Linked DNA regions of Sus scrofa. The protein of the gene in region 3 binds, or shares a complex with, the protein of the main gene of each other region. Links are inferred from orthologs where the notes say so. Each region holds a gene or a part of one and is shown on either strand. Other genes may lie near its edges.

Region 1 (4,146 bases), about 75 Mb from region 3:
AGCCAGCAAATGAAAGAGCAAAATTGTGTATTAAAACTACAACCTTTCAAAAAGTGCCTTATTAGTCATTTCAATGAAATGAAATTTAGGCAAAGGTATCTATCAGAAAATACTTCCTATCCTACTTGTTTTTTTTTTTTCCTCCTAGTATTTGTATTAGTAAGGAGTATCCCCGCTGGATGAGTTTGCTTTATTTCCAGAGAATAATGCCCAAGAGAGTTCCCTGCCCAACCCCAGGAGCATCACTGAAGCCAGTTTATGAGGAACTCTCCTACCACAGCCCTCTAGTGTAGCCTCTGAACAGACCTCAAAGGACCCGGCCACTCTGAGACTGAGGACACATGACTCAGGCTGTTATAAACCCTAGTGCAGACTGTTGAAGAGGGAGGGCCCTGGAAGTGGTGGAAAAGCACATAAAAACTATACCCAGATCTCTGTGGTCAGCAGCAGAAAACTCTCCAGTGGGTTTTAAGGAGAGAGATGGTCTCAAGGAAAGCTGAGAGTTTCGGGCCTTAACATTTGAATTTTCCATAAAAAATATCCTGACATTTCACTACAAAAGAGAGTTCATTTTTGGCATGAATGGGGCTAGGATATTATAAATTTTCAGTTCCCCAGAGATTTGGTAGAGGTCAGATAGGAAGATTTAACAGTCAAAAAGTATTATAATACAGTTATGAATATAAATATATATATTTTTTGCAAAACTGTGGGAAAGAATGAAATTTAAAGCAGTCAAGGAGTTGAGAGGTGGATTTGGGATGGGCATACCATCCTAAAATGTTCGTTTTTCAAATTTCTCAATCCCATCTCCATTTCCTTTGTTAATTGTCCCTTTAAACTAAGAGGGGAGGAATTAGCTCATCAAATAACTCACTCACACCCACCTTTACACACACCTTGGCCAATAGGAAGTTTGCCCTGGCTGTACACTTTTCCACCACTTTAATTTAGTGTAATATATACATATATTACAGGAAATAAAATCTTAGAAAAGGTAGTAATAATATAAAATACATTACTTTTTATTATCCCTGGACTTTGGGTGAAAAAAGCACTAACTAAAACCCGTAATTGTTACTGTAAGAAGTAACTACAAGTAATGGCATTCAGGTCTCTAATGCCATTTCATGTCTCTCGTCAGCAGTTTTAAAGTTGGACTTCATCTGGACCTAGCTACTCCTCTGCCTCTTCGCCCGCCCCACCCCTCTCGGCTGCCGGCCTCCTCGCCACTCTCCCGCCCGCCTTTCCTCTTCCCCACCCCTTTCTCCTAGCCCCTCCTCCTTGTTGAGTCAGTGGCTTGAAACTTTTAAAAGCTCAGTGCTCCAAGTAAGAAAAAAGCTTTTACGAGGTATCAGCACTTTTCTTTCATTAGGGGGAAGGAGTGAGGAAAGTACCAAACAGCAGCAGACTTTTAAACTTTAAATAGACAGGTCTGAGTGCCTGAACTTGCTTTTTCATTTTACTTCATCCTCTGAGGCGTGCCTACTTCACTTCTTTTAAGGGAAAGAGTAAGTTTTCAAAAAGGACTTTACCTATTTCTTTCTTTTTCTACAATTAAAACTTTGCTAAAGTTTTTTAAAGTGTTAAATGTAGCTTTGATATGATATAAAGGGAATGATGAACTTGAAATGTCTAGTTTTAAAGTTAAAATGGAACTTACGGTATTTATTTTTTGACTGTTAAAAAGTTATCTTTTAATAATGCAACAGGTAGATAAGATTCATACCTTTCTGGATATTTGGTTGGTTCCTCATTTTAGAGTAGAATTTCACTTTTTTTGGTAATTAGTAATAGTCTAGACGCTTTGTAACTTTTGGGGTGGGGTGTGGTTTGGGGGGCCTAGGTTGGGGGTTTGACTGGCTACAACGAAAAAAATCAAAGTGCAAAGATGCCTAGAGTGCTTGCTATAGAATTCTACGCTTTGTGCTTTTTCATATGGAAATCTTGATTGATGTTCTCTAGCCTTGAAAAGCAGACTTCTTAACAAAGTGCTTTGTTAAGACCTTGCGGTTACTTGACTTCCACGTGGTCTCTTCGTAGAATTTCCCCCGGTAAACAAAAAGGTGTAAAAATACGGGTTGTAATGCTGAGGTTCTTAAAGCAACAGTAAAGAGTTAACTTTGTGTTAGCCGCCACTAGGGAAAAATCTTGAGACCCTCAGGGAAGCCACCTTTGACTCGACCACGTTGGCAATTCAGGAGGTGAAATCTCTTGAATGCCTGCCTGCTCGTTACTTACAAAGCGTTAAGTTAGGGCGAGAACAGAAGTTTAGAAAAGAGTGCATGTCAGGGTGCATTTTCAAAACGGTCTCCTAAGACAGGGGCTCCTAGAGAGAATATGAAACGAAATTTCTTAAGACAGCGCCTTAGAGGGAGCTACCGCCCCCCCCCCAACCCCGACACACACACACGCGCGCGAGCGCGCACACACACACACACACAAACACACTGCCACCACCTTCTGCTTGTCCGAACCTGCCACACACTAAAGAGCTCTGGGGCAACTTTTTTGAGTTTGAGCCGCCAGGGTGCTGCCAGGAGGCAAAGATAAAGACGATTTGTCATTTTTAAAGGTTCAATTTCTTACATGCTCTTGTGAGTAACCCACATTCTTTTAGCCTGAAATGCAGCCATGCATTTTCGTGCCCGGTAAGGATTTTGTCTGTTCTAATTCCAGGGACTGAAGTAATTAGTTTAAATTCTTGCTGTGACCCTACAGTTTGAAGTATTTGCACCAGAGAGTGCTCAAAAGCACATAAAAATGAAAGCTTTGGGGAAGGAGGACGGGGGCCTGGGGCCGGGCGGGCGCGGGGTGCCTCCTGCCATTTTAGCATCCGCCTGGCTCGCCCCGGCTCCTGGGCTGCCCCGGCCTCCAGGTTTTGGAAAGGTTTGCGGATATTTCCCTCAAATGCTTAAAAGTTAAACCCAGTGCAGGTCTGAGTTCCGCCACTGGAAGGGAAGGGGTGGGAGCGGTGGAGGTGGGTTTGAAGGAGATGGACATCATGCCGAATGGTAAAAGAATAGCAAATGATTAATTGAATTAAATGTGTCAATCTAATTTCCCTTTTCTCTCACCGCCATCCGCAGTGCCCTTTTTTTCTTTTTCTTTTTTTCCAAACCTGTTGAATCCTAGTGTGTAAGCCATGACGAGGAAACCTGAGTACCTTGGAAATTAATGTGTCTAAATGACACTTGTAACTCTTCAGTAAGTTCTCGAAATTTCCTAAGAATCCGGGGGTGGGGAGCGGGTAGGGGAGCGCAGAGGAAGCCACGTAATGAAATGAGTAAAGACCTAATGACATGTCCAGGAGTAAATCAGTACAGAATTTGGAAATTCAACTTTTGAGTTCCTAGCAGCGGATCGACCACAGTATCCTACTGATTAGCCCTCCAGATGTTTACAGAGCATCTCCCATAAAGTTTATCAAAAGCCCTCCTTGAGCAACCTCATCCTTATCCTAAGGTTGCCTGTACTCCCAGAGTACAAAGAGGAGCACTATAAACTTGGAAAAATAGACATTGTTGCATTTGGAGGTGGGTTTAATTTCTTCTGCCTTCCAAACCAAGTTAGTAATAAGAAGATGCTTAATCTCACCCTCTGAAAATTAGGCACATTTGAATTTAGTCTAAAATGAAGAGGCAATTTGAAGAGTAGATTATGAAAATTTTTCCTAAAGCCTAACTTTTGAACAAGGATTCTTGAAAATAAAATCCTGTAGTAATAGAGATTTAATTAAATTAGCCCTGTCCCTAAAATAGAAATAAGCCACTTAGGTAGAAAATACTTCAGGGAAAGAGTAATTCTTCTAGGTAGGCCGAGTTGCCAGAACGATGGCAATGGTAGAAAAACATTTTGTCGTGGCAAGATGTTTGTGTTGTGCTTAGTAGTTCTCCAAGTCAGGGTGTGGTTGTCACCCGTCCTTTGCTTGGAAAATGCTTTGATAATGCTTTAATTCTACTCTCTTCACTGTTTAAACATGTTCCCATTTTTCTACTACCTTTTATAGTTGATCACCACAGCTGCCCCAAACACTCAATTCCTCACCCTTTACAGTACAATTCCTACATTGCTGGCCCTTCCCAGGAAACAAAGTTCCAAGCAAGCATCCGAAAGGGTGTGTTTTCAGATACTGAGAGTTGTTTT
Region 2 (3,940 bases), on a different chromosome or scaffold from region 3:
CGCCAAAGGTGGGACAAGGCAGAGCTATAAAAAGTGCCCTAAAGGGTTCGAGCAGAATCCTCCCTCCGCACTCACCAGCGACTCGGCCTCCCGCAAGTTACTTAACCTCTGAGGGATTCATTCCCCAGTCCCTACAGTGGGTGTCTCCTAGGGCCAGTGTGGGGCCTAATTAAGAGGACTGAGGAACGTGTGGCACCAAACACATGCTCAAGAAAGCTCAGCTATTACTGCGTCTAGAACATCAAAACCCAGAGGAAGGCGTAATTATTGTTATTACCCTATTTGTATTCGCATTTTGACTCAGCAGAGACAGTCATCGTTATAGCAATGCCAATGGCTCCCATGAATTCCGGGGTTCCTTCTGGCCAGTCGCTGTAGGTTGCGAGGAACACCTCCTTTAACCCCAGGACTTCATCACCGAGGCGGGCTTAGGAGCCCATTTCGAAGATGAGGACTTTGAGGCCCGATGGCCCCGAGACCAGTCCTGAGGCCTCCCCCCTCCACCGCCCGATACTGACACGCTGATGGGAGTCGAGGCTCCAGCCCCTGCTGGCGGCGACTGGACTCTCCAGCCCAGGTAACCGTTGCCCGGGGGCCGCAGCAACTCTGTCTGGTCCTCCCGCTGCGCCCGCGAGGGAGGATTTGGGCCGCACAGTTCATACTTGAGTTTCAAAGAACCGGCTTCCAAATTGCCTTCCAGGCTGGGTCCGATGCGTCCTGCCCGGGTGCCCGAGCCCGGGTGGTCGGGGCCCCGCGCCCCCCGCGCGCCGCCCTGCGCCCAGGCCTCAGCTCCGCCCGCGCTGGCAGCCCCGAGCGGTCCGGGCTGCGGTGGCGGTGGCGGCGGCGGCGGCGGCGGTGGCGGGAGGAGGAGCAGGAAAAGCCACCGGGGGAGGAGGCGGAGGCGGAGGCGGAGGCGGAGGCGGCGGCGGCGGCGGGCGGGGCCGGGCGGATTTAAAGCCCATCGAGGGGGTGGGGAGGCCGGGAGGAGGCAGGAAAGGACGCGAGCGGCGCGCTGCGGCGGGCTGGGCGCTCGGAGGCCGCGGAGACCCGCGCGGAGCCCAAAGTTTGCGCGCAGCCCCCGGGCGGCGGCGCGCGGGAGCCGGGACCGCCCTGCGCGCCGCCCTCGCCCCGCGGGACCCGCGCCGCCCCGGCCGCGCCGAGGGTGGCGGGCGGCCAGGCGGAGGCGGCCGGGAGCGGCGCCGCGGCAGGTACGGAGTTGGTCGCGAGCGCGGCGCCAAGTTACTTTGTGGCCGGCGGGCGGGCGGCGGTCCCGGCGTCATTGTCTGCGCGCTGGCCGCCCGGGCCGAGGACGCCGGGCGCCGCGGGGGCGCGGCGGGCGGAAGGGCGTCGCCTCGGGTCGGGGGCTGCGGCGCGCAAGGGCGGGGACCCGGCGCGGCGCGGCGCGATCGCGACCCCGGGCAGCGGGGGAGCCCGGGCGGCGCCTGCGGGACCATCCCGCCCGACGCCGGCGGCTCGCGGGCCGGGCCGGGGCTGGGACAGGGGCTGCCCCGCCGGCCGTCAGGCCAAGGCCGCGCTCCCGGGCCGCCCGGGGGGTGGGCGCCCTTGCAGCCCCCGTGCGCCCGCGCCGGGCCACTGGGGCCCGGACACCCCCGAGGCGGAGCGCGGCCGGGCCTCGGGATCTCTCCCTTGGGTTCCGCTGGTGTCCCCGTTACCCGCCGCCGCCGCCGGGGCCCAGCCCCAAGTGGAGGGCTCGCGGATTAGCCGCCTGCCCGCCGGGGAAATGTGATAAGAGCTGAACAGAAGGAAATTTCTGATGCAACTCTCCGCCTCTGCCGATCGCCTCTCCAACGCCTGCCTGGCGACAGCCCAGGAGCATGTGCGTTATGGAAATGAGGGTAGTCTCCACTTTTTATTGTGTTCGTCTTTTTTGGGGATTGGAAGAAATGCCAACTTTGTGTCGTTTGCTTTGAAGAAACGGTGGGTCAAGTAGGAGAGCCACAGGTGACTTCGCCGGGGCCTGGATCTTTCTGACGCGTTGGAGAGCAGGCTTTCTTGCAGACACTGTACCCAGCTTCATGCAGGAGATGCGAAGAAAAAGCCCAAACAACTAGTGCTTGTGAGTAAACACGCGTGATTGCACAACTTTCTCTTTGTTGCTGTTGACGAGGCCCCGCGAGGAGCACTTTGTTTCTGAAAAAGCTGATTCCGCCGTTTGGAGCCCCCGAGTTTCAGAAATGGTGCTTTCTTGAACGTTTCGCTCAGTTTTACTAAGAACACATGTCAGCCCAGCAGCACGCTTTGACTGCGGTTTACAGCACTAAGCTGGCCATTTTTCCGCGAGCCGACCTAGACTTTCCCTCCTTCTTTCCAGGAGGAAAATTAGGTAGAATCTAGGTTTCTGCAGCAAAAGCAGTTCTGACTGATGGCAATGGAGGTGTCCTTTAGGGTAGTATTTTATTAGGGAAAAGCCCGGAAAGCAAAGTGTTTCCAGGCGTGATTCTAGGTGAGTGGGTTTTTCTGTTCAAAATCAGAACTGAAGGATGACTGCGCCTAATATTCGAGTTTTCCTGGGAACCCTTGAGAGAAGACGGCCACCGCAGGGAGGGAATTTGAGGGCACAGGGAGTTACGCACCCAGCAAGCTGCGGTGTAACTCGGAAGTGTAGCTACGGATACTTCTGTAGCATTTCCCACTTTGAGAGGCATGTTCAAAGCCTAACTGCTTTTGATCCCTTACAGCCCCCGTTCCCCACTTTACAGGTCTGGACACCAAGGCTCAGGAGGTTCCTTGGCATGCCCAGAGTCACGTGGCCAGCAAATGGCAGAGCCCAAGCTTTCGGGTTTTGTAGGTTTTTGGTTTTTTTTCAGTCCTGTGTGGTTCATGCTCTGTACAAGTACATCGGCCTCTAAAAGAGAAATGGCCTCGCAGCTTCCCCTCCAGTCACCCACCCGGGGAACCAGGAGGTCCTGTTACCATTCCCACGGCCCCCACCTGCCAGGTTTCTGCCTGCCACCAGGCTGTTATCAGTGTTTTCTTTTGTCCACTCACTTTTTGTCCTTACATACACACTGATGTGAGAGGAAACTCATGTAGTCATGAGTCTGATACGGTAGTTTTGCTTATGTAATTACAACTGTGTTTTAATAAAAAGTAGGCGTTCCCGTTGTGGCTCAGCAGGTTAAGAACCTGACATAGTGTCCGTGAGGAGGCGGGTTCGATCCCTGGCCTCGCTCGCTCAGTGGGTTAAGGATTCAGTGTTGCTGCAGGCTGCGGCCTAAGTCAGAGAGGCGGCTTGGATCCAGTGTGGCTGTGGTGTAGGCCGGCACCTGCAGCTCTGATTCGACCTCTGGCCTGGGAACTTCCCTGTGCTGCAGGGGCGGTCCTAAAAAGAAAAATTAAAATAAAATAAATTCAAATAAAAGCTGCATCCCCCTCAAGTCATCTGTCCATACTGCCCTTGGTCTGCACTGCCTGAGGCAGTGCTGGACTGGGCAGAATGCCTTTCATTGTGCACCGGGAGCCCGGTGCTGGGCAGGTGCATGCCAGCTGCTTGTCCAGGGTGGGAACCCGGGGTAGCCTGGCCCAGTTACAGTGAACATCTCTGTGGACGTTGAGGAGCAAATGAAGACCCTAAAAGTTGGTCCAGAACTTTGGATTTGGGTGATGTGGCTGCTCTGAGCCTTCACATCGTCTAGAAACCGAAGTCGTGCGTAAAGTCACTGTGCCTTCGCCTTCATCTCAGAGCTTTGGAAAATCCAGGGTGGGGAGTTCCCTTCATGGCTCAGTAGAGAAGAATCTGCCTAGCATCCATGAAGACGCAGGCTCGATCCCTGGCCTTGCTCTACTTGGGTTAGGGATCCGGCGTTGCTGTGAGCTGTGTAGGTGGCTCAGACCTGCTGGTAGCTGTGGCTGTGATGTAGGCCAGCCGCTACAGTTCTGATGCGACCCCTAGCCTGGGAACCTCCATAGGCCGTGGGTG
Region 3 (3,500 bases):
GGCACTCCTGAGAAGCTGCCAAGAGCCCACACATGGTAAAAGCAGTTTCCTCACCCTAGAGAACAAGTCTTCAGAGAAAGAAGGTCCTCTAACAGTCTAGGTACAGAGGGTCTAGTTCCCTCTGTGCTGTGTTGGTGGCAGCTGTGGAAGAGACAAGGGATGGGGAGAGGAGGAGGAGGACAGGGAGACAGTGACACCAACCCAGGAACAAGTGTTTCTTTTCCAGGCAGACCTGGGCTTGAAGTCCAGGTAGCTGAACCTTGGAGAGGCCCATCTAAATTTTTGACCATATGTTGTCTCCATCACATGAATGACGAGCCATCCCAAGAGAGGCTAGAACTTCCTCATTTGGAGGTCAAGGTGGAGCTGAGAAGTCACCACCAAGAGGTCATGGAGACAGTCCATGCCCAGAGTCTGATCTTAAACCTTCCTTCTCCCTGGGGAGAAAAGGTCTTTTAGTGTTGGAACATCTCGTGAAGTTGTTGAGTATTTAGTGTTGGAACATATCATGGCACTATGAAAAGTTTGCCTGAGAACTTGCTTTGTCAGTGTTCATCATAACCAGCCCCTCTCTTTTCTTTCAGCTTTAATCGCTTGGACTTGCCACCCTATGAATCATTTGAAGAATTGTGGGATAAACTTCAGATGGCCATCGAGAACACTCAAGGTTTTGATGGTGTTGATTAGATTCCAAGTAACAATCTCTGGTGTTTTACTGCCACTTTTTTATAAGCAAAATCTTGACTTAATATTTTGTAGGGAATTACTAACCCTTGGCTGTTGATTTTTCCCAGATATTGGAGAAAATCCTATCAAAACATTAGAAGAAATAGTATGACAACTTTGCCACTATTTCATTCACTTAAATCCTGTGTCGCACTGACCCAGGTGTTTTGTTCTATCGTAAGTTCACACTCTAGGATATAAGTCCTGTGTGCCTGAAATTGTGAGTTTTGTCCTTAACATTTACCTCTTTTACAGATTTGCCAGGCAGTTCTTTCTTAAACTACTGAAATTATAACTGTGAAAATAGTTGTGATAAGTGTCGTGTGTGAAAAGTTTGATGCTTTTTGAGAAGGAAAACCAAAGTTGGGGGAAAAAACATTAATACTGAATATGCTACAGTATATTCAGTGCTGCCTGCAGCTAGTTATTGTTTTGTAGACCTGCCTACTGCACCTTACTGCCCAGATTTTTGAAAAAATCTTGGAAAGTGTGTTACCTATATTTTTAGTCAAATGACTCACTTGCAAAAAGCTGTTTACTTGTTCATTTTAAAAGTATTTGGCTTTTGTTAATATGTGGTTTTACTAAACAAGGTGGTTCATGAGACATGTGAAGCAAACTCGGATTTGCAAAGGGTGAAAGGTATTAATGCCTCCGTCTTGCCTGTATATCTTTCTGGCTCATTGGTAGAGTCATTCACTCTTTCCTGTTTTAGTTTAGTTAAAAAGAATTCCTTCTTCAAACTAAAGCTCAACAAAGCAGTATTCCTAAATATGCCTTGAAGAACTAAGTCAAATGTACAATACTTGCCTTTACTAGTCATTCTTTACACTTGCACAATTATGTAGTAAATATATGTTTACAGGATTTATTATGTTTACAGGCAAGCTAATTTCTGTAGTTGCATTTTTGTATTTTTAGTATTTCACTTTAGTCAAAAAACCAAATAATTTGTTAAAAGTAACCAAAGAATAGTTATAATGCATAATTTGTATTAAATTTGTTACCATATTTCTTATGCTTTTTAAAAATACTGTTTACTATGAAAATGTTTTGCTCTAAATCCAAAATTCTTTAGGCAAAATGCTACAGATAAACTCCTACTTTAGCCAAACTGAAGTACATAAAAATCCTGTGCATTCAGCAAATATTTACTGAATGCCTGCTATATGCCTAGGTCTGTGCTAGGCCCTGGGGTGAGAGTTAGCAGCTTCAAAGATATCTAGCTGAATCTTCACCCTCAAGAAGCTTGGAGATATGCAAAGGAATTTTCAAACAATCAAAAGTCAGGGTGAGCAGGATAAGGCAAAAGGGAAAGTGTTCCATGCACCTGCAAAGATAAAGTGTGCCAAGACTGTATTTATATGTTTTATACCTATATTGGAATGATTATATAGAAAATGCTCTTGCAAAAAGTTAAAGCTATTTCTCAATATGGTATCTTGGTGATTTAGGAATAATTGTAAATATATGTTATGAATCTTCTTAAATACATATATATACATATATGTGTGTGACACACACACACACACATATATACTCAGAGTTGTAAAAAGTGCATCTGGCTATTGGTTCAAGTTTGTTCTAACACAATGAGTACCTTTGAGCACATGTGACAGAAGCAAAACCACTTTCCAAACATGGCATCAGCAGCTCAGCTTAGGGAGAGTAATTCACAGATCAGTGCACCCTGTATCTTATCTTCACCTGTGCTAACCAGCTTTTAGGGGAGACCACCAGATGTAGCCCTAACTTTATCACTTAGTAAATATTTAAACTGAAGCCATGTACTCAACGTCTCTGGGCTCTTGGTTCTTCACCTGTCAAAGGAAAATAATCATGGCTGCTGTCATTGTCATGTAAGATTGTTGTAAACTCCAGAGAGATGCTTTGCAAAGTATCATACAATTGAAAGGTGCTTTGTGCTGACCATCAGATTTTGTCAAATCAGGTGTGAACATGAACTACACTCCCAAAGAAAAGTCTCTTCATTTAAAAATAAAATGACTGCGATCAGGCAAGGAAGTAGGAACATCTGATATTGAATACGTGCAGATATATGTAATCATGTGTTTATCTGTACATGGACCTTACCATACAAATTCATTTTCTCCACATGAGCAAAGTAATACTGATACGGGCCAATGCATTTTGGAATGTTCTTATTATGTAGAACTGAATGTGAAAACTATTTTTGTTAAAACAGGATTTTACCACATGATTGTTTAAGTATCACTTCTGTGAAATATAGCAGAAATCGGAGCTTGAGAAAGTATAAAGCTTGCTTTTCATCTGACTCATTCACTTGGATGATTCTGTGACTCAGATAAAACAGGGTGTTAATGAGACCAGACACTTCCCCCGGTCCCCAGCCCCCAGGCCCCAGCCATGGACCCTCATCCTCTTCATCTCCCAGATACGCACTGATGGTCTGGAAGGAACCTATAATCAAGCAACGCAGCCCCTCATCCCAGACAGCAGAGTATCCCAAATGCATTCTATGGCTGGCAAGTAAATAGGGTCATTCTTGTAAAGCAAGGACATCATATTTGTTTTAGAAATTATAAGCACATAATTTTAGCTTCTATTTTCTCTGTATTCAACCAAATTTTGGCATAAAATTGTATTACAGATGCATTTCATCCTAACTTAAATGGGTATGTTTTCATGTTTTATTTATAATGCTGAAATTATCCCAGATAAGTATCGTTAAACAATTTGTTTTGATTATAAGACACTTGACATTGTTTTTAAAAAATCTTCTCATATGGGAA
Region 4 (4,044 bases), on a different chromosome or scaffold from region 3:
TTTCTTCCTATATTTCTCTTCTATAAGCAATTTTGTTGAATGCAAAAAATCTATATAGGTTTATGCTGTTATGCCTTGAATCCCAGTGATTTTTATGAAAGCATTGTTATTTGCTATCAAAACGTTCACAATAAAGAGACAAATGTATCTGTCCTTAAGATAGATGTATTATGAGAATTACTGGGTTGAACAGTCCAAGGCTGAAAGTTAAAATTAAAACTTTACAGAATTAAGCCCTATTTATATAACAAATTCTCTCTTAAAGAACCATCTTCTGCGCCTCACTAACTTCTAACAAAAATTTTTCAATCCTGTTGTAAACATTACGTCAGCTAAAACGCAGTGATGCAGCCTTTTATAAGGTAGTACTTTTTAGGCCGAACTCTATTCTTAATCCTTTGGACACAGGAGTTGTAATCATGTCATACCCTGCAAATCTAGCTGTAGGTGGTATCTCAAAAAAGGACTTTTTTCTTTCTTCGAGGAAGTGGTCAAACCTTTTTTCCCCTGATGTCATCATGCAAACAACCTGGTTGCTTTTCATTGCTATCGAATTAAGAGAAGAGAAAGCAAAACATACTGAGTACATTTTTTTGCTTCTCTTCCTTGCTCCGTGTAGTATTCTCTTTTAGTCTGGATTTGGCCTCCACAGAGCTCATTTCTTCACTGCCTACAAAGCACTGGTTTAAATAAACAAACAAACAGTGCAGGCCAAGAATGCTCTTGTCCGTGAATATCATTGCTTCTCTAGTTTTTATTACATTTTCTTTTGAAATTCATTAGATTATGCTCAGCAGCCCTTGCCCAACCGGTTTCTTCCCTTCCCCCATCTCTCTACACACATCACTTTTGCTTCCTTCCCTCCGGGGAATGGGCAAACCCCTACAGCGCCGGTAACGCACTCTCCCGGCTTGGTCACTCATCAGTTTGTCTTTACTTGGCTTTGCAAACAGTTCCCCACCCAACCTTGTCCCCCAGTGCCCCCTCGGCCATTATCTTTCTGCCGGAGTATGCTCGATAAGGGACTCCAGATAGCACGTCGAGGGTTTACGGTAGCCTGCCTACCAATAGGAACCCACAATGAAGAGAAGTCAGGTTCGGCCTCCCGGCAGCCCCACTGCCGTCTTCCTTGGTTGTACACCTACTGTACCCGCGAGCGAGCGAGCCAGGGAGCGAGCCCGGCGCGGGAGGGGGCGCGCAGGGAGGGCGACAGCAGCCGCGGCGTGCGCATGCGCCCTGGGGTTGTTTTTCACAAAGCTGCTCTTAAAGTGAGCTGGCAGGTTCCAGCCGCCCGTCTTTGTAAGGAGACCACTGAGACTAGCAGGAGCGAGGAGCAGCAGCCTCTCTGCTGCCTTGACTTTTTAAGAAATCTCAATGAACTGTTTGTAAAGAATCACTGATCCTGCCTGTAAGCTTTTTGCACGGCAAAGACATCGATCAGTGTTAAGTGAAGATCACATTTTATATGTGTTCTTGACTTTTTTTTGTCTTACATTATATTTTTTATAGATTTTGTTACAAACATGGTGCTGGGAAAGGTAAAGAGTTTGACAATAAGCTTTGACTGTCTTAATGACAGCAATGTCCCTGTGTATTCCAGTGGGGATACAGTCTCAGGAAGGGTGAATTTAGAAGTTACTGGGGAAATCAGAGTAAAATCTCTTAAAATTCATGCAAGAGGACATGCGAAAGTACGCTGGACCGAATCGAGAAACGCCGGCTCCAATACTGCCTACACACAGAATTACACTGAAGAAGTAGAATATTTCAATCATAAAGACATCTTAATTGGACACGAAAGAGGTAAGTTTTTACATTATTCAGAAATTATTACACCTATTTTCTTTGGGAAAGTATCTGTTCAATTTCTCTGAATTAATGTAATGTTACTCCTAGCATAAAATATAGCAGTTTGATAAATGTTAGCAAAGTTAGCCAAGATTTGAATTCTCCTTGACTTTCATCGTGTGTTAAGCCATAATGCATGCAGGCATCTGCAAAGTGACTGCAAACTGCACTTATTCAACTACCTCTATACCCGGCTTGATCTGTGCCATACGCGCTTGCAGTCTATTTCCACCTTATAAATTCTGCTTAAATCCGAGGCAGTAATTTTACTGATACGTTTTCAAATGAATTGCTAAAAGCTGCAGTCCAATATTAGATTTTTTCCTTGTTCTGTGGAACCTTAGATCTTAAAAATTAAGCCTCAATGAAGAAATGAAATAACATTTTTAAGTGGGTTAATGGGTGTACTTCATTTTTAATATTGACACTCAAAGACTTTAGAGAATTGATTGTTGTTCTTTGATAAAGGGTTTCTGTGGCTTATTTTGACATATGGTATGAACACCCCACGTGTTTTTTCCCTATTCTTTCCAGTTCCTTTAGAAATTTACATCAAGCCTTCTCTATTTTAAAGGACAATACCAATCATTATGATATGTTTCAAATCGGTTTTAGAAGCCATTTAAAGTCAATTTTTTTTTTTCTGAGCATCATGCCTAACTTTGGAACTGCATTCAATGAAACCTAAGCCAGTCAAAAGGAATTGAAAAGTATTCGGCTCATTTGGATTTGATTTTTGGTTATAAAAGGGAGATAAAGGGTTGTCAAAGGGAGAAGGGGTCCTGAGATTTCCAATCTATTGTTTAAATGGTCACATTGTGGAAATATAGGAGACTCTAAGCTTGTTTTTCTAAGTTTCCACCCTTTGTTAGAAGCGGTTCAATCCTGTTTCGGACCAGTTCTAGGGGGTGGTGAGGAGGGGCGCTTGTTCTGCTCTCAGCAGATTGGTTACACGCGTCAGGTGGTGGGGATGACTTAATTCCTAGCCCAAGAAGAATATAATGTTAAAACTGGTTATGTAATTTTGTGCTTCTCCTTTTTAATGCAGTATTTAGTTCTAATGTTGGCCATTTCTCGAAGAGTAGAGCACATTTTTACCTCTTTTTTTATACTAAAAAATACCCATCCATGAGGAAGTGCTAATTGAACTAAGGCAAGTGCAGAAATGTAGGGGTGCTTTGAGTTACAGCATCTTAATGCATTATTTTAACAAATTTTAAGATGAAATCTGTTTTGTTGGGTTTTAACTTGCACATAGGTCATTTGCATCCTGAAATAATTTCTAGTTAATATCTCCAACCATTGACACCGCTTAGAAATGCAGCTGCTTAATGACAGTCCTGGTGTTTGTTGAACAGCACACACACGAGTTTGTATTTGAACCTTCCTGGACTGGCAGCTTTTTATAATACATGGGTGAGAAAAAAACAAAGGTTTTTAAGGAGTTGAGGTTTGCGGTGAGGCAAAAGTAGAATAACGATTTATGGGGACAAACACAATTTCATTAGTTGCGCTATGATTTCATAGTAAAGAAAAACTGTGTGTCCTGAACTCCACGGAGATGCCTCTCAACCCTTGCAAAGCATGGACGAGCCTTTAGCCTGGAATAGTTTCAATGACTTAAAACTGGGACCTCTCAAACTAGCCTGGAAATTGAGACCCCGCCCCGGGCGGCCAGCGATAGGCGGAGCCGGGTTTGTTAGCCTGTTGCTAAGGCGATGCCAGGCTCTGATTGGATTGGGTGCAGGCGGGTGGGGAGAGTAGGCTCGCCGGCTGGGGCGAGGCTTGGAACCGGCGTGCGCCGGTAAAGGTCCCTCCTGAGCAGCCACCCCCGCCCGTTCTCGCGTCTGCGTTGCGGGCTCCTGGAAGCAACCGTAGTTCCTGTCACATATTGTTCTGTTTGCCTCTCACTTGAGCCTGTGCAGCCCCCTCCCCCATGGAATAGCTTAAGGTTTTGAAGAGTAGAGGAGAGATGCTTTTGCTGGCCTGATAGTTGCCCAAGGGTCCTGGGTGCAACTTTTTAGCTCAAGATCTATATACAGGGAAGTTGGGCCAGCATGGTCAACAGGATCTTGTTTTCCAGTTTTTCGGGTGGAAGTTGTCAGGCGGCTTCCGTGAAGGCTTGCCTTCCTCCTAGCTGAAACAAAGCGACTTTCCCTATCTAGGCACTCATCAGACTGGCTACCTTGATTTGAC

What was found. The genes of interacting proteins can lie anywhere in the genome.
Region 1: the proteins of NEDD4 (region 3) and GJA1 are in contact, whole or in part, in an NMR structure (PDB 2N8T), measured with the Rattus norvegicus proteins. The link is inferred for Sus scrofa from reciprocal best matches to the Homo sapiens genes NEDD4 and GJA1. Residues at the interface, in NP_037118.1 of Rattus norvegicus: Asp416, Asp417, Tyr422, Val424, Asp425, His426, Ser428, Lys429, Thr430, Thr431, Thr432, Trp433; in NP_036699.1 of Rattus norvegicus: Pro277, Leu278, Ser279, Pro280, Met281, Ser282, Pro283, Pro284, Gly285, Tyr286.
Region 2: the proteins of NEDD4 (region 3) and GRB10 are in contact, whole or in part, in a crystal structure (PDB 3M7F), measured with the Mus musculus proteins. The link is inferred for Sus scrofa from reciprocal best matches to the Homo sapiens genes NEDD4 and GRB10. Residues at the interface, in NP_035020.2 of Mus musculus: Glu71, Leu72, Val79, Arg104, Ser112, Ile114, Leu115, Thr116, Ser117, Val118, Gln119, Glu134, Ile135, Leu136, Phe137, Arg138, Leu242, Pro243, His244, Pro245, Pro246; in NP_001357532.1 of Mus musculus: Ile514, Arg516, Gln518, His519, Phe521, His522, Gly523, Arg524, Asp548, Gln579, Phe581, Gly587, Asn588, Thr589, Lys590, Phe591, Ser592, Ile595, Gln596, Asp599, Phe600, Leu603, Asn604, Ile617, Arg618, Val619, Ala620.
Region 4: the proteins of NEDD4 (region 3) and ARRDC3 are in contact, whole or in part, in a crystal structure (PDB 4N7H), measured with the Homo sapiens proteins. The link is inferred for Sus scrofa from reciprocal best matches to the Homo sapiens genes NEDD4 and ARRDC3. Residues at the interface, in NP_001271267.1 of Homo sapiens: Glu847, Arg849, Ala851, Pro852, Phe857, Ile859, Asp860, His861, Lys864, Thr865, Thr866, Thr867, Trp868; in NP_065852.1 of Homo sapiens: Glu344, Ala345, Pro346, Pro347, Ser348, Tyr349, Val352.

What each region holds. Positions count from the first base shown.
Region 1 is NC_010443.5:40,999,330-41,003,475, reverse strand, and holds the start of GJA1 (gap junction alpha-1 protein), read left to right. Parts: upstream 1-1,346; 5' UTR 1,347-1,511; intron 1,512-4,146. UniProt on the Homo sapiens protein: Gap junction protein that acts as a regulator of bladder capacity. A gap junction consists of a cluster of closely packed pairs of transmembrane channels, the connexons, through which materials of low MW diffuse from one cell to a neighboring cell.
Region 2 is NC_010451.4:136,739,746-136,743,685, reverse strand, and holds the start of GRB10 (growth factor receptor-bound protein 10), read left to right. Parts: upstream 1-1,140; 5' UTR 1,141-1,208; intron 1,209-1,933; 5' UTR 1,934-2,077; intron 2,078-3,940.
Region 3 is NC_010443.5:116,066,707-116,070,206, forward strand, and holds the end of NEDD4 (E3 ubiquitin-protein ligase NEDD4), read left to right. Parts: coding exon 1-35; intron 36-584; coding exon 585-687; 3' UTR 688-3,178; downstream 3,179-3,500. UniProt on the Homo sapiens protein: E3 ubiquitin-protein ligase which accepts ubiquitin from an E2 ubiquitin-conjugating enzyme in the form of a thioester and then directly transfers the ubiquitin to targeted substrates. Specifically ubiquitinates 'Lys-63' in target proteins.
Region 4 is NC_010444.4:98,441,911-98,445,954, reverse strand, and holds the start of ARRDC3 (arrestin domain-containing protein 3), read left to right. Parts: upstream 1-1,244; 5' UTR 1,245-1,523; coding exon 1,524-1,803; intron 1,804-4,044. UniProt on the Homo sapiens protein: Adapter protein that plays a role in regulating cell-surface expression of adrenergic receptors and probably also other G protein-coupled receptors.